3 linked regions of the Notamacropus eugenii genome follow. The protein of the gene in region 2 interacts with the protein of the main gene of each other region in a pairwise test. Links are inferred from orthologs where the notes say so. Each region holds a gene or a part of one and is shown on either strand. Other genes may lie near its edges.

The links. The genes of interacting proteins can lie anywhere in the genome.
Region 1: the proteins of NUFIP2 (region 2) and FBLN5 interact in binary tests that used the Homo sapiens proteins (3 or more experiments, as listed by UniProt). The link is inferred for Notamacropus eugenii from reciprocal best matches to the Homo sapiens genes NUFIP2 and FBLN5.
Region 3: the proteins of NUFIP2 (region 2) and PCSK5 interact in binary tests that used the Homo sapiens proteins (3 or more experiments, as listed by UniProt). The two-hybrid records come from large-scale screens. The link is inferred for Notamacropus eugenii from reciprocal best matches to the Homo sapiens genes NUFIP2 and PCSK5.

The regions. Positions count from the first base shown.
Region 1 is NC_092878.1:38,570,857-38,578,352, forward strand, and holds the start of FBLN5 (fibulin-5), read left to right. Parts: upstream 1-4,487; 5' UTR 4,488-4,707; coding exon of another isoform or gene 4,708-4,724; intron 4,725-5,007; 5' UTR 5,008-5,274; coding exon 5,275-5,330; intron 5,331-7,437; coding exon 7,438-7,492; intron 7,493-7,496. UniProt on the Homo sapiens protein: Essential for elastic fiber formation, is involved in the assembly of continuous elastin (ELN) polymer and promotes the interaction of microfibrils and ELN. Stabilizes and organizes elastic fibers in the skin, lung and vasculature.
Region 2 is NC_092873.1:36,771,087-36,778,660, reverse strand, and holds the start of NUFIP2 (FMR1-interacting protein NUFIP2), read left to right. Parts: upstream 1-4,562; 5' UTR 4,563-5,240; coding exon 5,241-5,592; intron 5,593-7,574. UniProt on the Homo sapiens protein: Binds RNA.
Region 3 is NC_092874.1:375,902,413-375,910,279, reverse strand, and holds the start of PCSK5 (proprotein convertase subtilisin/kexin type 5), read right to left. Parts: upstream 3,010-7,867; 5' UTR 2,127-3,009; coding exon 1,938-2,126; intron 1-1,937. UniProt on the Homo sapiens protein: Serine endoprotease that processes various proproteins by cleavage at paired basic amino acids, recognizing the RXXX[KR]R consensus motif. Likely functions in the constitutive and regulated secretory pathways.

The DNA of each region.
Region 1 (7,496 bases), on a different chromosome or scaffold from region 2:
TCAGGAGAAAATTTATCTCTAAAAACATACATTAACAAAATGAAAAACAAACTAAATACACATATTAAAAAATTAGCCAATAAATAACTCTCCCCCCAAAAAAATTAAAATAAGAAATATGGAAAAGTAGTGGAGAACTAAACTGGAAATAGAAAAAGACATTAGAAATGATAAGACTAAAACCTAGTTCTTAAAAGCTAACAAAATTAGTAAGCTTTAGCAGACCTGTTATAAAAAAGGGCAGAAAATCAAATCAACAAAATAGCAAATGAATAAGGTGATACCACAACAAAACTAGAGGAAATAAAAAGAATTCTTAGAACCTACTATGAACAGTTATATGCTACCAAAACTGAAAACACAAAAGAAATAGAGGAATACTTTTAGAAATATAAAATACCTAAGTAACCAACTAGAGATCTTCTATAATCCAATCTGAGAAAAGAGAAATAAAATGAGTAATAAAGGGCCTACCAAAGGAGAATAGTCCTAGTAGATTCACAGGATAATTCAAACTTCTAAAGAACAACTAGTTTTAATATCATAAATTAACTTAATTAATTTAATACCATACAAAGTATTCTCAAAAATTGAGAAATTGTTTTATCAGACTCTTTTTGGGATGAATATGGCCTTGATTCCTAAATGAGGGAAAGATAAAGCAAATAAGAACCATGAACTGATGTCACTACTGAATATTAATTAAAGACATTTCAAGTCCTGTCAAACAAAACATACATCACCATAATCATACAAAGTATAAAAACATCCAAAACCACACGATTATCTCAAGTAACAGAGATTATTGTAATTATAATTACAGTCACATAATTATAATTAATTATCTCAATACTTTGCCTTTGACAAAGTACAATATTCATTTCATGCTACAAATCCTATGAAATATAGGCATAGTGGGATTTTTTGTTAATATCAGGAAATGTATGTGAAATCTAAAAAGATCGGATCCACTAGAAACTTCTACAAGAAATACAGGAATAAAGCAAGCATGCTCAGTTTTTCTGCTGTTATTTGACATAGTTCTGGAAATGACAGCAACAGCAATAAATCAAGAGAAAGAAGTTAAAGGAGAAAAGATAGGCAAAAAAAGAGTTATAAAATGATTCCAATTTGCTAACGACACTATGGTTTATTTAGAAAATTCTAGGTGAACAGCAAAGATTTCAATTGAAACAATAGTTTCAAAGTTTCTAGCTGCAAAAATAACAGTATTTCTATATAACAACCCAAAAATAACATTTCTATATTATAACATCAAAATGAAAGGTAAATACCGTTCAAAATAACTACAAAAGCACAAAATACCTGGAGCTCAATCTATCAAAGTATACAAAATACCTGTTTGTACTCAATTGCAAAATATCCGTTATGGAAATAAAGAAGAACCTAAATATTTGGAAAACTATTCAATGATCATGGTTGGACTGTGCCAATATAATAAAAATGACAGTTAAAAGTTATAATTTTCAGAGAGAAAAAAAGAAACTTGATTACTTTATTATATATTTAAAAGAAATAACAGGTTATACATAAAAGATTTGTATTTTCAAGTGATTTTTTTATTCTGCTAAATTATGGAAATGCTTATCTTAGGTTTACAAATTAAAAATAAATCAAATTTTAAGAAAATTATAGTTTTAATACTATACCAATCAAACTATCAAAAGGATATTTTACAGAGCTTGATAAAATTATCTCAGTTCATTTGGAGAAACAAAATATCTAGACTATAAAGGAAAATAATGAGGAAAAAAGGTAGGGATGAATAGGGGAGTGCAAACTCTATTATAGCCTGTCAGTTATCAAAACCAGTTGGTAATGGTTTAAAAAAAATAAGGAAGTAGATCAGTGGATGGACTAGGCAAGGAAAGATGAAAAGAAATAGAACTCAATGACCCGATGTTCAATGAACTAGAAAACATAAATTAGAAAAGAACTTATTAGATAAAAACTTTTGGGAAAACTAGAAAGTTGTCTGGCAGAAAATAGAATTAGACCAACACCATTCCATCACATTCCACAATGCATTTTAAATGGATAGATTACCTTAAGATTAAAAAACCATACATAAAAAATGAGAAGTAGATCATATATGTTTTCCACAGGTAGAAGATGTATTTTTAAACCAACAGTTGATAGAAATAACTATACAAGATAAATATATGAAACTTAAAAGCTTCCACGCGAACAAGATGAATGCATGTAGAATAAGCAGTTGAACTGGGGGGGGGGGCAGAGGGATCTCTATCAAATTTGTCTGATAAAGATATACAGACTACCAACACACATGCACATATATTGTGGTACATAAGTATAAAGAAATTTTACTGTGCTGTAAGAAATGATGACTAATGAATACTGGAAAGCATGGAAAGACTTACATGATTAAACAAGTAGCAAAATATACTGTCCAAAATAACAATATACACAATAACTGCAATGACATAAATGGAAATAACAGCCACAGAACTATCAAAAACAGATGTTTAAAAATTACAAAGGTCAAGCTCAGTTCCAAAGAAGTAACATGTGAAGACACCCCCATTGCCCTCTCTCCCTGGGACAGCATGCAATCTGATGATTTCTAGACATATATTCTTATTAAGCACATTTTCACATTAGTCATTTTGCATAAAGTTATTAAAATGAATGGGGGAAATCATGAGAAAAAACAAACTAAAACAAAACATAACACAGGAGAAAATGTTCTGCTTCATTCTGCATTCCAATTCCATAGTTCTTTCTCTGGATGTGGATGGCATTTTGCCTGAAGAGTCCATTGGGAAGTTTTTAGGTCCTTCCATTGCTGTGAAGGGCTAAGTCTACCAGAAAAATTCCTCACACACTGTGGTTGGTACTATGTACAATGATCTCCTGGTTCTGCCCCTTTCACTCAGCATCAGTTGATGTAAGTCCTTCCAGGCCTCTCTGAAGTCTTCCTGTTCGTCATTTGTTATAGCGCAGTAGTATTCATTTCATTCATATACCACAACTTGTTCAGTCATTCCCCAATTGATGGGCATCCCCTCAATTTCTATGCTTTCCTAACCTTTGCATACTCTCCGTGACACTGACCTCCTTGCTCTTCCTCAAACAAGACCTTCCATCTTTTGATTCCAGTTATTTTCACTGACTTTGTCCAATGCCTGGAATACTCTCCCTCTTCATTTCTGCCTTCTGGTGAGCTTGTCTTTAAGTCCCAGTTGAACTCCCACCTTTCCTGGTCTCCCATAATTCTAGTGCCTTCTCTCTGATGATTCTTTCCAATGCATCCTGCATATATCTTGTTCCTACATAGTTGTTTGTGTATTGTCTCTCCCATTAGTCTGTGAGCTTCTTGAGATTGGTACTCTTTTTTTTTTTTTTGCCTTTTTTTGTATCTCCAGTGCTTAGCATAGTGCCAGACAGACTGTGCTTTATAACTGTTATTGACCATTGACTGAAATGTAAGGTATTTTGAAAGCAGAATTACCTTACTGAGAGCATCCTCATATCTCATGCCTGCTTCTTTTTCTCACATCCTCCTATTATTTAAGAAAAGCAGGGTAGTATAATGAAGAAAACACTGAATTTGGGAGGCTGAATCCCCCTTTTGCCATTGATTATGTATGTAACCTTGGGGAAGTCACTTTCTCTGGCCTCAGTTTCTTCATCTGTAAAAGAAGGGGTTCAACTGGGCAATCTCTTCCTTCCCACTTTAAATCTACTATGATCCATGACCTTTTTTTAAAGCAAAATCATGAACCAGCTGTAAAGGGATGCTAGAAAGATTAAAGTTAGAAATTTGCTGTTCAAAAGTTGAAGTGAAGGGTTAGAACCCTGTCTTTTTAATTTTACTAGCCATTGGTATATGATCTTCCTTATGGCATTTCTTTTGGCAAATATTCATCCCTTCTATCTTTTTATCTCTAAATCTTCACTTAATCTGTGCTAATTTCTAATAATAAATCAAGCGCAGTGGTCATTTGTAGCTGTATTCTACAAGTTTCTATTCTCCCGAAAAAGGTTAAAAACTTTTCTTCAAATGCCAATGACCTGGAGGGCTAAATCTTCATAACTCCCTCTCATCCCCTGACTATCCGAGGCCTCTGCAAAACTCTGGGATGTTGTAGCTGGGAAGGAAACTAAAGGGTGAACGTACCCCCGTGTTCCCACCTCCCTCCATGCACTTGATAAGTAGTCCTCGCCAAGAAAGATGCTCTCTGCAGAGTGTGTGTGTTTGCTTGCTAGAATCCAGGAGGAGAGGCTTTCCTTCGAGCTCTGAGACTTTCGTCCTGGCAGACGCCCCAAGATTGTTGTGAGGAGTCTAGCCAGTTGGTGAGCTCTCTAATCTGAACCAGCTGTGTCCAGACTGAGGCTCCATTTGCATTGTTTAACATACTTAGAAAATGAAGTGTTCATTTTTAACATTCCTCCTCCAATTGGTTTAATGCTGAATTACTGAGAAGGACTAAGCAAAACCAGGTGCTTTCTCTGTACTCACTCCAGTGCCTCAGGAGGCTCAGACCCTTACTCTGCCCGCTTCACTACTTGCTGTACTGGAATATCATTAAAACAAGAATCAAAGGGCAGAGAGAAGGTTGAAGTTCAAGAAACGCCTTTGAGTAGTAGGCACTGGGATCTTTTTTTTCCCCTTTCTTTCTTTTTCCACCCACCTCCTTTTTTTCTTCTCCACACATCTGGGACATGCCAGGATTAAAGAGGTAGGTTCTTTGTACGGAACTTCTTTCTTCAGGGATTGGAAAGACTTGCTCTATAGCCTGCTGTGTGGAAAATGTCTATGGCTGAGGTTCAATCTGTGTCAGGACACTGGAAAAGAGATTTGCTAGTGATGCAACAAGATTGCTAATTATAAAAATGTGCTGTTCAGTAATTTCCATCTTGAAGATCTTTTCTGGGGGGGGGGGGGAGGGTGGGAGGAAGGGAAGGGGAGGGACAAGGAGTGGTGTTGTATAATAGTTTTAGAAGTCACATTGTCTGTCCCAGGACTGCAGAATTCTACTGCTCCAACGCCAGTGCTTTCATCTAAAAAACACTTTCACAGACCGGCAGCAGCTTTTTTTTACCCAAGCTGATTTACCCAAAAAAAATCACTGATTTGAGAGACCAAGCTTAAGTTTACTAGCAATCTTCACAGAAAAGAATTGCTATTTTGTATGTGTCATCTGCTGGACAAAGCATCGTGCCTGGCTGAACACATTTACACTCTTGTGCCGGATTGTACTGTATGTCTGTGTGTGATTCGCAAAGGGAATGAGACCCAGAAGTATAAAGCCAATGAGAAGTGCGGATTGCAGACAAAAGTACATGTAAGCAAACTTTATGTTGTTCATTAGGGAAAATTAAGAGACAGATAAGTGATTCTTAAAATTAATGACTAAGAGAGTGACAGCTCCGGGATTCTTGTCTAGTAAAAGCCTGTAGATTTCTTTAAATCAATGGATTTCAGTGTGTGTGTGTGTGTGTGTGTGTGTGTGTGTGTGTGTGTGTGTGTGTGTGTGTGTGTGTTGAACTAAAACAAGCCTGGGATCATCTCTTCTGACAGCAAGCAATGCCATTTGATAGGTCCCTCCTCCCCTTTCCTTTTCTTTAGGGGAAAGGCATGGAATGGATGCTTCACCTGCTTTTTTAGAAAGTATCCTGGATTGTGAGAATGAGAATGAGAAGTTGTAATCTAGCCATACATCTGACGACATATATTTTTTTCTCATTCTCTTTTTGATTGCTTTGATTTTGGTTGTCCAGAAGAGCAGAATGTAGATTCAGTGTCACAGAAGTTATTCGTAGGCAAGAAGTTTTGCTAATGGCATTTTGGGGCTCCTTCGTAATTGTAAAAACTTTTTGCTACTGATTGAAACTTTTTTGACTCCCAGAACTTGCCTGTCACTCTGCCAAGGGTGAGAGCCTTTGTCTGGGTGCCTTGATCTGCTCTGAAGTTTGAGGGGAGACTGTAGCTGGTGAATATCTCTAGCCCAAAGGTCGGAAGAATGGGTGTTAAAATAGATTTTGTACCAGCTCTTGAAGGTACTCAGACTACTCAGCCTCCAATATAAATGAAAAGTGGTTTAATAACTAACTGAAAGGAAACTTCATGAGGAAACAGGAAAACATTGAAATTCATAATAAACAGGCTGGAAAATAAATTTGTTGTTGCTCTTTTTAAAAAAAAGATATAAATTTAGTTTTTGTGAATTAAAAAAAGTCCACTACCACCACAACAAAAAAACTCAAAACAAAACAGCTCTGGGATGTAGCTATGAACTTTATAAGGTTAGAACAGTCTCCAATAATATGAAACCTGGCTAATGCTGCCTTATATATTAAATAGCTAAGAAACCATTGGAATTTCAGAGTATTTCTTTATTTGGGGAGAGTGATCTTGCTTAGATGAAGAAACTGGGAATTATGAGTCCTGACTTTGCTGTCTTTGAATAATGGTCAAATTACTTTATTTTTTTTCAACTTACCCAAAGAATAAATAGACAAAGTCATATGGGTCACAGAATAAGTATGTGGAGGTCAGGTCTGCATCTAAAGAGAATTTGTTGATTGAATAATAGTTTTTCAAAAGAAGAAATGAATGAATTATCCAATTTAGACAAACACATCATCAGTCTAGACAGTTCAGTTTTGCCTTTCTTCTGATTGGTTGACTGAGTTATTCACATTCATTGAATATTTGATCAACCTCCCTATTAACTGTGAAGAGTTAAATTTGAGGTCACAGAACATTAAACTTAGGCAGTATTTTCTAATGTCCCCACTACTGGTTGATGGAAGACACTGATAGGTGTATCTAGGCTAGATGAACATTTATATTAAATGACACTGGCATCAACTTCATCTAGCATTTTGCTCTTTGGAACTTCAAACATTTCCCATTGATCATCTCATTTGTTCTGATCTTTTGAGGTAGGTCACAAGGATCATCATCTATACACACATTTATAATAAAAAATTTTCTAAACTCAAGCATTACTGTCTCTGTTTGCATTCAAAGTAAAAACTTGGTAAATGCTTAATTTGCATCTGACAGTCCTCCCTGTTTCTCTAGCCTCTATAGCACAAAATGCTATTTTTGATTATAAAAAAATCTTATTTGAATGAGAGGCCTCATGGTGAGGGGGCTAGATATCCAACTGCAGAGTGAGGAAAATCTGGTTCAAGACTCCACTTTGAAACATACTACCTGTGTAACCCAGGGCAAGTCACTTAATTACTGCTAAGATAATATATTATGGAACATTTATCAATTTGCATTGGTAAAAGAAATTTTCTTCTTTAGGAGTTTTCAACTTCAGTGAAATCATAGATCTGGACCTTCCTCCTCAAAGTATTGTGTTATAACACATTCATCTAGTACTTAGACATTTGTATATATAAAATATTTATGTTTGATTTCTCATCCCTGTTTAGGATACTGACTGTTTCCATTCTGACTCTTTGTCTCACAAGTCCTGGACATGCACAGGTGA
Region 2 (7,574 bases):
TCTTCTCTGTAAAAGGAGGGGGCTGGCCTAGGTGACCTTTCTTAGGTCCTTCCTGGTTCCAAGTCTAGGCTTTATGCCCTGATCATCAGAAATAAAACTGAAGAGGCTGGTGACATATCAAGAGCCATGGTGGTGGCGATGGTGGTGGCTGTTGTCCTTCCAGATGATTCCCTTTCTATACTGTATCTCCCTGGGTTTTCAGAGGGGAGACTTATTAAGGGTTAAAATACTTTCTTTTGTAAGGCCTAGGGGCAGAAGCTATTTCTGAAAGCTGGTGATTCCAATAAATGCATGGCCTGCATGGCTATACCAGTACTATCCTCCAGTCAGAGGCTAGGGGCTAGTTCTCTTTAGCCACAGGTAGGAAATTATCAGGAAATAAGAATGTCTTCCTTTTGTACAATGTTGGGAAAAGCTCACCCGTCTGGTAGCACCTAGATGGACACTAATGGGATGCCCAGAGTGAACTGGAGCTAAAAGATGCTATTTGTTCTGGTTAACCTGATTCCATGCAAGAGATTGTTCTGATGCCAATCATCCCTTTCAGGGATTACGGACCATGGAGACAAGGCGGGGCTGGCTGCCATCTGCGAGTCATGGCCCCACTAGGCAGGATGATTAGGTTCAATGGGGACTTTCTTGAGCTGTATTCTTCTAGACTTGGAATTGGAGAGAGACAAACCTGGTAGTATGAATCTGAAGCTTAGCACACAGGACACAGTGCTTTGGATTGAGAACTGTACTCTTCCCCCAGATCACTTGAGACCATTACCTCATCCATTTTCATAGCATTTTTGGGCAGACCTTTCTGCAGATGGGGACACTGAAGTGCAGACTGACGTAAAGCGAGCTTGCCAAGGGTAGAGTTAACTATGTTAATTCTGTGTGGCCAGGTCACAGATAGAAAAGAGGCAAAGGAATTTTGACCTTTGACATAATTTTTGTACTGGGCACCACACCCTATTAGTTAACCATGTCTGTGTAGTTTGGTCTGATTTAAAATATAAAGTCGTTGAAGGAAAAGGAGGGTCCACAGAATAGAAAAATGATGGACTTAGAGATGGTGGCCTTGGGTCCAAATCCTCACTCAGCCACTTAAGTGCTGCCGATTTTGGGTAATTATTTCTTCGTGTCTCACTGGCCCTCTCTGTAACATGAAGGTTAGGGTTAGGTGACCTCTAAGGTTCCTTCTTGCTCTAAACTGTTAATTCTCTATCTTTTTGGACCGGACTTGGGATTTCATGGGTGCAGGGAGCTGCTGGGAAGAAACTCCCTGCTCCCAATGGAGATCTGTATTCTCTTCATAGCTTGTGGTCTTGGAGAGTCACCTGGGACACAGAGAAGGTAAATGGTTTGTCTGTGGTCAACCTGCCAGTATGTATTAGAGGCAAGACTTGAACCCAGGTCTCCACTACTGGAGGTTAATCTCTATATTATTTTCATTGTTCTTCATTTTTTTCCAATTTGGCCTTTGTACTGGAGGAGGCTTTGTAGACATCTTACTGTCAATTGCTAAAAATGGTAGATCAAATGCTATCAATGTGGGTGCATGTCCCAGCAAAGTCATTCAGAGAAGGATGAAGGGCAGCTCAGTTTGACAGAACTCTGGAATTCAGGAGTTCATCAAGTGTGGGTCACAATTAGTGCCCTTGGCATATACTGTCTGTTAGTTAAACCCCAGAAAACACCGTCATTTGATTGAGCTCAATGGAGGCCGATTTGGCTTTTTATTCCTGACAAGATGATACTCCAAAGGCCAGATGCCTGAATCGAAACCTTTCATATCCAGAAAGTCATCTTATTCTACTTGCTGAAAGACTAACCTGAGCTCTCCTTATCTCCATCTAGTCACTCCAAAAGTCTTTTTGAAGCTTGTATCTCCAGGGAAAAATTCTGAGATCTAAAAGAAAAAAAAATGAATGAAAATTTTTTTTCTGTAATGGAATGAAACACTAGATATTTCACATTGGAAATCCTGTAATTCTGGGTGCTCTGTGACTTGCCTGATTTTGAAGTTGGAATCACCATCAGAGGTAGGTCTGATTTCCACATAAATACATTTGGACAAGGCCTTTTTTTCTCTCTAGATTATAGTTTGTGGAAAGTGAAAGTTAGTTATTACAGCTATAAAACTGGACTCTGCATTGCCAACTCCTCTGATGCTATGTGATTTCACAACAAAGAGAAGAAGCTCTGGGATGAAAGATTATTATTCCCAGAGCATTAGAACCAAGAGGGACCCCACGAAACAGAGGCCTTGAGAGGGCAAATTATTTGCCAACCAATGGAACATGAGGCATTTCTCATTAAATGTAGCAGCTTCTCCTACGTCTTTTGAGACTGAATCATAAGAGTATAAATACAAGGTGAAGGATGTATGAAAAATTATATTTTAATTTTATAACTAAAATTTTAAGGTACATTTCTGGAACCACAGAACTTGTGTGCATTTTAAAGATTTCATGAAATATTAGAACCATCGTGACTAACATTAAAAATAATAATAAATGCTTTTTCTTAGCAAAGCTCGTTCGTCTCTTAATTTTGCTGAGACCACTTACGAGCTGCAATTCTTTTCAAGTTTAGGAGTAACACAAGATGATTTGTCTAAGGCAACAGACACCCACAGCAAGAGAGAGGAAAAAAGTGTTACACCTCATCCTTGGTCTCCAGGAAGGAGAAAAAGGTTTTGGGTTTTTTTTTTTAAATGTTAAGCAGGAAATCTCAATTTCTCTTTTTAGTGTGCTATACTGCTTGCCAGATTTTAGAAACCACAAGGTAAATTAACATCTGAAAGCTATACTCATCTATTAATAAAACTGCTTTTAAATATCAGAGAGGATCTCTGAATGAAATTTTGATTTTTTTTAACCTCTTAAATCACGATAGAAGAATAAAGATCTGGGAAAAAGCTGGTGGCTTTGGGGTCACTGAGGTAGATAGAGTCACAGTACTTGAGAAGTCCTTTTATTAAAGGCATGCGGCTCCAATTTTAATAAAGAAACCCAAAAGTCAAAATGATTGACAACTGGGACAGAAGAGAAAGCACATAGGATATGCGAGGTCAGGGTATCGAAGGAATAAGTTTGGAGTTTCTCGAGTCAGGTCAACGCTGGTTTACTAACTCGTTGGAATATCAAATTCCACCCCCTTTCCCCACTTTTTTTTCCTTCTCAAAGAGCAGTAACCAGACATGACATCATTATCAGTTGAACATTGCTCATTTATAGGCAGCTTCAGGGCAAAGTATATTAAGTGGGGGGAATATATTAACTTTAATTATTTTGGGGAGCCAAGGATATAGAGTTGTCATTATAAGAGACACTGCTCTTCCCTTCAAGACAGCTTTCAGACAGGACAGAGTTCAGATATACCTACTAATTAGCTATTATGAGTGGAAAATAAATAAATGCCATCCATTTCCTGATCTCTTAAAAGTATGCTGATTCAGTATCACTGGTCACATCACATATTTAAGGAATTCAAGAGCATCCAACCTAGAATCCAGGGGGGACCCGAGTTCAAACACATGCTTAGACACTCACTAGCTATATGACCCTGGGTATGTCATTTAACTTCTCGAGTGTGCCTCAATGTCCTCATTTGTAATATCGGGATAATAATAGCACCTACCTCCCAAAGTTGTTGTGAGGATAAAACGAGATGTCTGTCAAACACTTTGCTGACCTTAAAGCGCTTTATAAATACTAGCTATTAATCCCTTAGTTGGAATACATATTGGACAAAATGGGAAAGGGCCTTAGAAAAAGTCATGCGATGTTTTTGTTTGGACGGAACTTGACCTGAAAACGTCCTAAGTATTACCAAGGTCGAGTAAACTTGGTTTGAAAGCGCTTCAGAAGAAGCCAGGAGAAGTACAGCCGAGGAGTTCCTAGACCTGGCGGCTCTGGCACGGCCGGCCCTGCGGGCACAGGACAGCAGCTCTCTCCTCCGGTCCAGGTAGCTCACTGGAAGCGAGGTAACAGGTTTGGGAAGTTCGGAGAGGAAGGCCCGCGGAAGGGAGTCCCACGGCTTTCCCAAAGCCCCCGGGGAAGTGACCTGGGAGCAGGTGGAACTCCTGGCAATCTCGTGTCTCAGGTCTGAGTCAAAGACTCGGAGGGCAGAGGTATCCCAGCCCCGCAGCGGTCTGTGAGCGGAGGGGGAAGCGAGCGCCCAGCTCGTGTGTTGGGCGGCAGCTGCAGTCCCCAACCCGGGCTTTGGATAGGTTTGGGTTCCCCGTGTTCATCTGGAAACGACCGGCCTGTGCGCGGAAACCTGTTGCTGTCTGACCCGGGAGCAGGTCTGACCTAATCCTGCGGAGAACTCATAAAAGGGAATTACAGGACTGACATCACATTTGCTTTTATAATCACATGTTGTTATGTAATAAACACGGGATTATTTTAATTGACACTCTAGGACCCGGCGCAATCCTCTTATTTCACCCTCATTTCTGTAAAGCGTGAGAAGCCCAGCTCGCCCAGCCGGCCAAGGGGATAAAGAGTATCCCCTCCTCGCTCCCCCGGCCCCTCGGGCACAAGCCCCCCACGACCCCCTCCCCAGACAAACGCCTCCCCCGCCCCGAACCCGGGGATCCGGAGGGAGACTTTCTGGCGAAGTTGGCGGGGCCTGCCCCCGGCTCTCGCGGGGAGGGTCTCCGGTCCCCAGGGCGTGGGGCCGGGGCGCGGCACGTGCCCCGAGGGCGGAAGGGGCCCAGGACCCCCGGCAGCCGCGGACTCCGGAACGACCGGCGTTTAAAAACAACCGGTGGCGCGGCCCCAGACTCCCGCGGCTCCGCCGGCCCGGCCCCGGAACGGGCGGGCGGGAGGCCCGTGGAATCTGCCGCTCCGGACGCGAGCTAGCTGCGGGGGCAGGCGTGTGGAAAGTGCTGCTGGCGGACGGCGCCGAGCCCCGGGCCGAGGCCCCGACGGCGCAGAGCCATAGTGCTGACGTTGGAGGCCCAGCCCTGTGAGGTTGCGCCGGGTAAGTGGCGCTCGGCCGGGGAGGGCCCGCCGAGAGGGCGGGGGAAGGGGAGGAGCGGGCCCGGGGGCGGGGCCTGCGGGCCGGCTCGGGCCGCCGATTGCTGGAGGGCGGCTGCCAATCTCCGAGAATCCCCCAGTCAGCCGGGGCCCTGGCGAGAGCCACTCAGATGTACGGTGTGTGCCCGGAGAGCAGCCCGAGACGGTCTGGAGACGGTGCAGCAGCCCGCAGCCCCAGCCAGGGAGTCCCCGCCGCTTTCAATGGAGGAGAAGCCCGGCCAGCCCCAGCCTCAGCCCCCGCCGCCGCCGCCGCAGTCCCAGCAGCCGCCCCAGCACAGCAGCAGCAGCCACAGCCACCACCACCCCCCGCACCACCACCACCCCCAGCAGCCGCCCCAGGCAGCGCCGGCGCCGCCGCCGCACCACCACCACCACCACCATTATTACTACTACAACCACAACCACCACCACCACCACCAGCACCACCAGCAGCCGCACCAGTACCTGCAGCACGGGCCCGACGGCAGCAGCCCCAAGGCCCAGCCCAAGCCGCTGAGACATGAGCCCAAGCACGCCCTGCAGCCGCACCAGGAAGCGCCCAAGAAGAAAACAGGTCCGGGAGCGCGGGGGGTGCGGGGCCGGGAGGGGGCCCGGGGTCACGGGGCTCGGGGACACCCTCCCGCGCCGCTGCTCCCGCCCCTGCTTCCGCCCGCCGGCCGGCGTGACCTTCCCGGGCCCCCGTCCGCCCGGCTCGGGCCCGCTGCCCTTCCACGCGGGGCGGGCGCTGCCGGGCCAGGCCGGGGCCGGGCCGAGGCCTCCCCTCCCCCGCATCCCCCGGCGCCGCCCGGCCCCGGCCCACCTGTGGACCCGGCGGGGCTGAGCCGGGAGGTGGGGGCGGGGGGCGCGGCGGGGCCGAGGCCTGGACCAGCCGTCCCTTTATCGGCCTCGTCCTCGCCGCCCCGCCCGCCCTGTCCCCTCGCTGTCCGGGCCGGGGCCGGGGCCGGCGCGGCTGGAATGTTCTCCGCTCGTCGCGGGGCCGCTTCCTGTCCGCCATGTTGGGAGCCGATTCCTGTCACAGGCCCCGGGGCCCTGCGGGGGGGGGGGCCCGCGAGCCCGGCGCGTGCCCCGCCCCCCCTTCCCTCCCCCAACCCCCGGCCTGGCCGCGGCCCGGCCCGGCCTCGCTCCCCCGGCGGCGGCCCAGCACCGGGAGCGGTTGGGGGTCGGGCCACGCGGGGAGCGGCGGCCGCGCGGCCTCCAGCCCTGCCCGGTCCGGCTCCGCCCGCGGCCTCCCTCCTCGCCAGGGGCGGTGGTTGGCCGGCCGGCCGGGCGGGAGGGGGAGGTAAGGCGGGCCGGCGGCCCGGGAGGGGCGGTGGCCGGGGCGGGGGGGGGCAGCCACGCCACACCACGCTGAGTGTTCTCGGGGGAGCGGGCCTGCGCCGCCGGCTGTTACAACGCCCGGCCCGGGGCCGCAGGGCCGAGCGAGGCCCCGCCACCGTCCCCTCCCTTTCCCCTGGCGGGCCGGGCCCCCGGCGTGCCGGCCGCGTGGAGACGGGGCCCCGGCCCCCGCCCGAGGAGAGCAGTTTGGGGGCGTTATTTTCTTAAAGCCCCCCAGGATCGTGGCCGAGCGGCCTTCCGTGGATGGCCGGGTCAGGGGGAAGGGGAGACTTTTGGGGGCCAATGTGAACCTCCGAATCCGGTGTCCGGGCTTGGGCGCAGGCCTTGGGGCGAGCGGGGGCAACTTTTCCCGGATGTTTGAGCCTTAAGTCCGGTCTGCCCCCGCTCCTGCCGCGCGGCTTCTGCCCTTGTGGGCTCTGGGGTTGAGACGGGGCCCGTCGTGGGCCGGGGAGGGGGCGCGGGACGCGGGCCCCGGGGTTTCCCTGAAAGTGCTTTGGGGGGGGAGTTTAATCCCGAAGGTCGGAGGCCGCCGAGCCCCTGGTAATAACGGAGCTAATGGCCCTCGGCGTCTGCGGGAGCAGCCGCTCGGGGAAGCCGCCGCGCTTGTTAGCGTTCGGTCTCCCGAGGAGCGGCCGCGCTCTGGGTCGACCCGGCCCGGCCGTCGTCCCTCCTGGCGGCCTCGTCCTCACGCTCCCCCCGGCGTGATGCCCCCGGGCCGCGCTTCCGAGAGGCCACCGGGAGCTCCCGAGGGGCGCCGCGCCCCCCACCTCGCCGAGCCTGGCAGGAGTGCTCGTGGTGAAACTTTGCCAGGTGGTGCCCGCACGTTGGCGAGGACTGGAGGAAGCTGGGCCCCCCAGCCGGGAGGAGAGGCCGCTCTCGGGCGGCTGCCCGCTAGGGGGCGCCCGAGGGAGGCCGCCCGGAGCCAGTGCGAGCCTGCGTCCGCAGCCGCCGGCCCTTTCCAGAACCCAGTAGAACTGGAGTCCGTTTTAAAATGGAGTTTTGTGCCCGGACAGCTGCCGGGCCTCGGGAGAAGCCGGCCGCGGAGGGTGCTTGGACGTGATGCTCGGCTGGCTGTTCTCCTGCAGTTTATGACTTGTGGGGGCTTTAAGCCTTTAAGCGCAGTCTCGTTAGCCTAGTGGGTCCTGGAGTGAGAGAAACGGTAGAAGGCCGTAAGTTAGGCCACAGCGCGGGGCTTGTCCG
Region 3 (7,867 bases), on a different chromosome or scaffold from region 2:
TAGAAACTCCCTCCCCCTTTCCTCCCTCCTTCCACGCCACCCTGGCAGGGGCTGCGGCGGCGGCGGCAGCATTGCTCGCAACAGCAGCCTCAGCCGGTTGGTTAGCCAGCCAGCCCCAAACCCCACGTTTTTTGTTTGTTTGTTTGTTTGGTTTTTTTTTTTTTTTTTTTGGTCCAGTGCCAAGCGTAACCAACCTCCTCCGATCTCGTTGTTCGGGCACAAGTGGCTTTGTGAGATAGCAGCCTCAGGTTCCTATTCCCTGGAAATAGCATAAACGGCTTACGGATGTGCAAGGCGGAGACTTTCTAAGAAACCCTGTGTTCTGTGGGTCTCTTTATCAAGGCAGCAGCAGCAGCAGCACCCTTCGGCCCTCAGATCCGGCGCCCCTCACCTCCCATCGTACCCGAGGCCAAGCCACAAGAACACGCAGGCTGTGCTGACGGGCGGGGGAGGGGGGTGGGGGAGAGTCCCAGAGAGAAAGGCCTGAGGGGCTCCTATTCCACTTGGAATCTTCTCCCACCTCCACTCCCCTTTCAGCTCCAGAAGAACGCGTACGTGTCTGGGGAGACGTGTTTAATTTCTGGGACTAGTTTCCCCCAGCTCCTCCCAGTTCATTAGGTTTCTTGTTTTGGTTTGTGTTGATTTGGTTTGGTTTGAGGGTTGGGATGAAGAGGTAAAGAAAAAAACGGGAAAGCTAAGGAGATGGATGGAGATCAATAATCCCTGAGTTACCTGGGGCGTGGATGGGGGCTGGGAAAAGGGGCACACGTAAATTACACGTAATGCAGGACTTTAGCTAAGCTTCCTTGTTCTGCTTCCAATCATCCATCCCCACAGAATCACCTCATTTTATCTACATTTTTAAATGACAGGACAGCTTGGGGCGGGGGGGGGGGGGGGGGGGGTTGTGATGGTGAAGGGAACGGAATCTGTGCCTGTGAATGGTATAAATATCATTTTAAAAAAATAAGATGAACACAACGAATGTAACTGAGGTGGAGTAATATCTTTTTACCTGCTGCACTCTGAACTCAGTCCGCCCTTCCTACCCCGCACCGCTTTCTTAATCTTAGGTTCTAGTCCTGACACCAGACTCAAAACCTTCCCAGACAAGAACCCGCAGGCAGATCTTAGGGGAGAAGTTTCCAGCCTCCACCTCCCATTCCCACCCGCTACATCTAGACTCTCTGGTTCACTTCCACCCCTCCCGAGAGGAGGGAAGAAGGGGAGAGAGCTCTTTTCCCAAATAAGCAACAGGGCTTCCACCAAGGGAAAGCCCTCTTCCAGCACACACCCCTCCCGTCCCCTTCTCCTACTCCACTCTCCACTCCAAACGCCCTTCTCTTCTGCGCTTCACTGTATTCAGTCTCTAGACTCGGAAACTTCTTTCTAGTCTCAAGTCGGTGCTATCCAGTTTAACCTCTTCTCTGTCTGACCTCTCCGAGCTGCCAACAAATGACTTATTTCTAGACACCCCCCTCCAATAACACACACACACACACACACACACACACACACACACACACACACACACACACACACGAGGAGGAATGTGCTGAGGACCCGAGTTGAAGGAAAGCACCACCCCTTCCCCTCCTGCCCCGAACCACTTGCAAACAACCTCCAGAATTTTGTGTAGTGTGGCATGCGTTTGGGTTGAGTGCGTGTCCCAGGATCGCACGAGGGGGTGGGGTGGGGGGACAACCGGAGAAGGCAAGCAGCCGCACATCTGGAGGTAGGGGAAGTGGGAGGCTAGGGGGCGGGGAAGTGAGCCGCTAGCTCAGCTTCGTTCACCGGGGTCCGCTGCCAGAGTTATCTCCACCGCTGAGGCTCCAGAGGGAGAGGGATGGGGAAAAGTTTCAGAGTCCGGAGTAGGAGGGGGGAGAGGGGAAGATAACAAAAGGGATGGGGGTAGGGGATAGGATGTTGCCGGTTACCTGTCCAATGTTGATGAATCCGTATTTGCTAGCTATCCTGTTGGCCTCCTGGAATCCCCCGGCGATCTTTACAGCCCAGTGGTTGGTGTACACGCGAGTCCTACACACGGGCAGCAGGCAACCCAAAAGGAGGACCAAGACACAGAGCAAGTCCAATCGCCCCAGGCAGCACCGACTCCTCCAGCCCATCGTCCTTTCTCCTCCTTGGGAAACCACCCCAATCAACACAACTCTTTCAAAGCTCCCTTTCCCCTGGGTTCCAGCGGCTTCTTGATGTTTACCACTTCCAGTCAGACAATCCCCAGCCGCAGCGAGAAACCCTTCCAAATTTAGGTGGAAGAAACTAGAAATAGCTTGGAATATTGCATTGGACCTTGCGCCGGCTTCTAGACCATCTCTGATTGTTAAGGTGAACTACCCAATCTTCTCCCTTTCAGGAGATGAAGTGAGTGGACAGGAGCTGCTCTCCCAGTTTTGAAGCTTTTAGGTTTGTTTGGTTTTCTCTGTACAGATGAGTGTTTTGAGTTTGTCTTTCTTCTTCACCGCAGTTCTTTTACCTCCTTCTCACTCCTGTTCTTTATCTCCCCACTTGATTATCTTGTGTTTTCTTCCCTCTTTTCTCCTTAGGTCCAGAGAGCAGCAGCGGCAGCAAGCAGAAGCAGCAGCAGCAGCAGCAGAAGCAGCAGCAGCAGCAGCAGCGGCAGCAGCAGCAGGCAGTGTGAGTGTTGGCAGCTGAGCGCCTCTTCTGCTCCGTCAGACTCAGAAACCTCCCTCCCTCCTCTCTCTCTCTCTCTCTCTCTCTCTCTCTCTCTCTCTCTCTCTCTCTCTCTCTCTCTCTCTCTCTCTCTCTCTCTGTCTCTCTCTCTGTCTCCCTCTCTGTCTCCCTCCCTCCCTTCTCTCTCTCTCTCTCTCTCTCTCTCTCTCTCTCTCTCTCTCTCTCTCTCTCTCTCTCTCTCTCTCTCCCTCTCCCTCTCCCTCCCTCCCTCCCTCCCTCTCCGAGTAGTGAGTGTGGAGTGTGAGTTGAAATGGCAGCAGCGCCTTCTCTGCATAAATGAGTCTCCCCCCCACACACACCCCCTACACAACCCTTCTTTCCCACCTCCCCCTCACCCCCTCCCTCCTCCTGCCGTCCGAAAGCGGTACGGATCCAGACTCCGACTAGGTCCTAGCGCCGACTCTTTGAACGTAACCTCCAGGATCCCGGGCAAGAAGAAACTGCACGCTGTTACATACAAGGTGTATGTAACCTAGTGGGTTCTGGGGTTTGAGGTTCCACTTTCCCAGCCCGGCGCTTCTTATAATTTTGCTGCTACTTCCTGAAAGACTGGAGAAACATATAGTTTGGGTGACCTAGAGATTCATTCATCCTTGGTCTTGAACGTCCTTTAACAGCTAGCATTTAAGAAGGTCAATTTCATGTCAATTGCCTAAGGAATAACTTGAGATTTTCACTTCGTTAATTCTTCATCCTTTTCACCAACTGTTTATTTCACACATTCTATTCCAGAGAAGGAGCTTCTAACTCATTATAATATTCCCATAGCCAGAGAAAGTAATGGACTTGTTGACATCTAAAAGCAGTGCACTCCATACTACACAATTCCATGGGAGAATAAAATTTCCCGGTTAATTTTTTTCTATGAACATTCCATATGAAAATAAGATAAAAGTTGTTCAGTTCAAGGGAATGGGTATCTGCTGCTTGCATTGTCTAATTTTTTTTTAATTTTATTTTTTATAAACTAGGGCAAAAGTTGTCCAACTTTTCAAGTACTCTATGTACTGGAAAAAGTAAATGACTTCAATAAAAGGGCACAAATGGAAGGTCCTGAATAAATATTCCTCTTCTGCCAACTCTAATTCTTTACACTAAATAGTAATTGCAAGAAAAGAAAAAGCACAGAAATGATTTAACAGATGCTTCTCTACTTCATTTCTGCCCCTCCCCATTGGGTCAAGTGATTTCTCAGCAAAAGAGCAAAGTTGCCCCTTCTGAATTATATTTATCAGTTTTCAGACCACTGGCTGTCTTCCAGATCAAGACAAGTATCTCTTTCCCCCTTCTCAGTGCTATATTACCATTACTAGATTGTAGAAAATTAATTTATCTCAATCCAAGCTTTTCACAATACTTTGCATTTATCTTTCTTCTCAAGAGATTTGTCAATATTGAACTAGCACCCCTGTGAGATTATCATAGTGGACAAATATGTCTATTTCTTCAATGTATAGGCTGAAAAATATAAAGCTAGAGATTAAGCATTAGACTACTTTGCTTAGATTTTGGGATTTTAATTCATTCCTCCAACCCAGTAATTTTTTGTTTGCAGACTAGGTAGTAAACTCCCATATTGGTATTTATGTATGGGGAAGCTGTTTAATTCGTTCACATAAACCTAAACTACATGCACTCAAAAAAGTCAATCAAAAACAGACTTTGTTCTGGTCCCTGATAAGCTTTCAAAGTGAGAGAGACAAACAGTCTTCCTTTCTTATGGACCTTTGCAGGAAAGTCATGTAGAAATCACTCACACTATCCCCAAAGGTTAACCACCACTAAAGGAGATTAAACCACCACCTTATGAGTCAAAATTGTAAACATCGATCTGTATTTCCTTGAGTGTTCTCATTCTCTAATTGTTGAATTCTGGGAGTGTAGCTTTAGACACTTCCCTTTGAAAGGAAAATTACCTATGAGTTTCAAATTTGAAATGAAACTTAGAGGAATTACTATACCTCCACAGAACCTAACTTCCTTGTGGTAAGGGTTGTTGTTTCCTAGGATAAGTGGTAGAATTATTCATTGATTTTTTTCTCTCCATGGACTCTTTCTTTTTCTTCTTTCCAATAACACTTTTTCCTCCTGTAGCCATGCCTTTCTTGGCATACCTAACAGTTGCTATGTTGAACATGAACGAGAATTTCTAAGTAAGGTAGGAAGTGGACAACCACTTTTCTGCTTTGTAAACTAATACCTGGACCAGCATTTAGCTTACTCAAAGGATATATTCTTCCATTTGGATGAATATATATTAGGAAAGGGAAACCAGTTCTGGAAACCAAACAAAATGTGGAACCACCATTCACTCCTCAAATCCTTATTTAAGGTCTTGACCCATTCATCTTATTCTCCACATTTACAGTACACACACACACACACACACACCTTTCTATTTAAAATAATGCTCTCACAGATTATAGCCTCAGAACCTTCTTCCCACAGGCCAATTCATAGTACAGGTCTCCTGGTTTACATCCAGGCACCACTTAGTTCTTACTTTCATTTCTAGGGCAGGTAGGTAGTGCAGTAGATAGAGTACCACTGTAGGAGTCAGGAGGACCTGAGTTCAAATCCCACCTCAGACACTTGACACTCACTAGCTGTGTGACCTTGGGCAAGTCACTTAACCCCAATTGCCTCATCCTGGGTCATCTCCAGTCATCCTGATGAATATCTGGTTACTGGATTCAGATGGCTCTGGAGGAGAAGTGAGGCTGGTGACCTGAACAGCCCTCCCTCACTCAAAAACAAAGTCAAGTGCAAGTCATGTCATTATTTCTCTGATGGCATGGTCTTCTTCAGCAATGAAGGATGAACACACTTTCATTTCTGCTATTCCTGATTCCCATTTGATGAAACCAGTTAGCTTAGCTGGTGAAAGCTTATAGAGTAGAGTAGAAAGATCCCTAGGATGGATTAATAACTTCCAACAAATATAATTTCTGTTCTATTACTTTAGACTATATCTAGTCTACCAGCCAGCCCAATCACAAATGTGAGTCATTGGTTACACAGGGGACCAAGCCAAAGAGTGTGTTCAGTGTAAACCCATTGTTACTATTGGGAAAAGAACCAAAATTAAAAAGCCCATGGATTGAGGGAAAAAGCCAGCTAGATCTGTTTTATATAAGCCTTTTTATATTTTTAAAGCACTTTGGTGGCTATTATCACTTTTTCTTATGTCAAGAAGAGAGTGTTTTGATCCTAACATGGTGAATCAAATTTTGAATTCCTATTGTTACGATTACAAGTAATTCAGGCTATTTCATTTTTACCTAGTATCCTTCCCACTTAACTAGAGGAGCAGGTGAGGAACCTGGAATGGAGAGCTGGCCTCAGAAAGAGTTGCAGTCCAGAAGGCCTGGCTTACATCCTACTTCTGACCCAAACTAACTGTGTGGTCCTGGGCAAGTCATTTAGACTTTCAGACTGAGAATTGCAGTACAATTGGAGCTCTGCTTCTGTGGAAGGAGCTTCCTCAGTGGGCGCTTCCTATAACAAAGCAAGCAAAAGTACAGTTTTCCACCCCTCACCCCAACCACATTTAGAAGAAAACCTCTATTTGAAGATATTGATGTCAGACCAGAGTTTGGCAGGTGTGTGAATTTCTCCCCTGTGCAGATTGCATTGGTAGAAAGAAAATAAGAATAAAGAAATGAGCTTCGTTGGACATGTTGAAATCCTATAAAACACCTCCACCTCTCCAGAATCCTGAGAGAAATCTCTGTCTCCTGAGAGATCTCATTCAATCCTTTTTCAAGCTTCTTAGCTAGAATTCAGTTTAATACATTTTTAAGAAAAATCTTACATGCCTACCACATGAAACTAATTGTACTGTGAATACAGAGATAGAAGAACAACACAGTCCTTGCCTTCAAAAAGTTTATAATCTAATATATGCAAATAGTAATAACCAATAGTAATAACCAAAATTTGATAAAATGCATTTTAAGTTTGTTAAGTATATGCATATATGTAATACACACAGAATATCATTTTCTGTAATAAGCCAGTGATATAGGTGCTATTATTATCCTTATTTTATAAATGAGGAAACTAATGCTGGGAGAGGTTATGTCACTTGACCAGGTCATGTAGCTAATGAGTGTTAGAGGTAGGCTCTGAACTCGGGTCTTTCTAACCTCATTTTTCAGCAATCTATCCATGATATTACCTAGCTGCCCATTCTACAAATATGTAGAATGAAATATAGAATATGATATGTATGCAATAGAGTAGGGGAGTCAAAATCATATAGAAACTGGGACCATTAAACCATAGATAAGGATCTCTTTGCCTGCTGCATATTGACTTAGAAAACTACATATTAATACTATGTTCCATTGTATATTTATTTATATTGTACTGTATTTATATTATTGTATTCAATATTATATTGTATTTCCAAATCACATGTTAATCTAGCAACTGAAAGTATTACAGACTGCAACATGACCCCCTCTGGCTGCCTATTTGACACCTCTACTAATGAGATATGGAAGAGATCCTCCAAGAAAATTGGAAAGGAGAGATCATGTTCGTCTGGGGCATAGTTGGGAAGGTTACTGGGATGAGAAGTAGCTCCTAGATTGGACACTGAAGAAAGGAAGAGGTTTGGAAGAAGTTCATTCCAGGTATGTGGGACTTTTTTTCTTCTTTTTAAAAAATTAAGTTATTTAAAAAATTTTCCCCAGTTACATGTAAAAACAATTTTTAACTTTCATTTTAAAAACTTTGAGTTCCAAATTCTCTCCCTTCCTCCCTCCCCACCCCCACCCCTATGAAGAAGGCAAACAGTTTGATATAGGTTATACATGTGCAGTCATGTAAAACATACCCATAATTGTCATGTTGTGAAAGGAAACAGACAAAAAAAATCAAGAAAAATAAAATTAAAAAAAGTGTGCTTCAATCTGTATATAGACACCATCAATTCTTTCTCTGGGGATGAATAGCATTTTTCATAAGTCCTTCAGAGTTGTCTTGAATTGCTATATTCCTGAGAATAGTTAAGTCATTTACAGCTAATCACTTTACAATACTGCTGTTACTTTGTACACAGTACATTTCACTTTGCATCAGCTCGTACAAGTCTTTCCAGATTTTTTCTGAGAGCATCCTGCTCATCATTTCTTATAGTAAAATAATA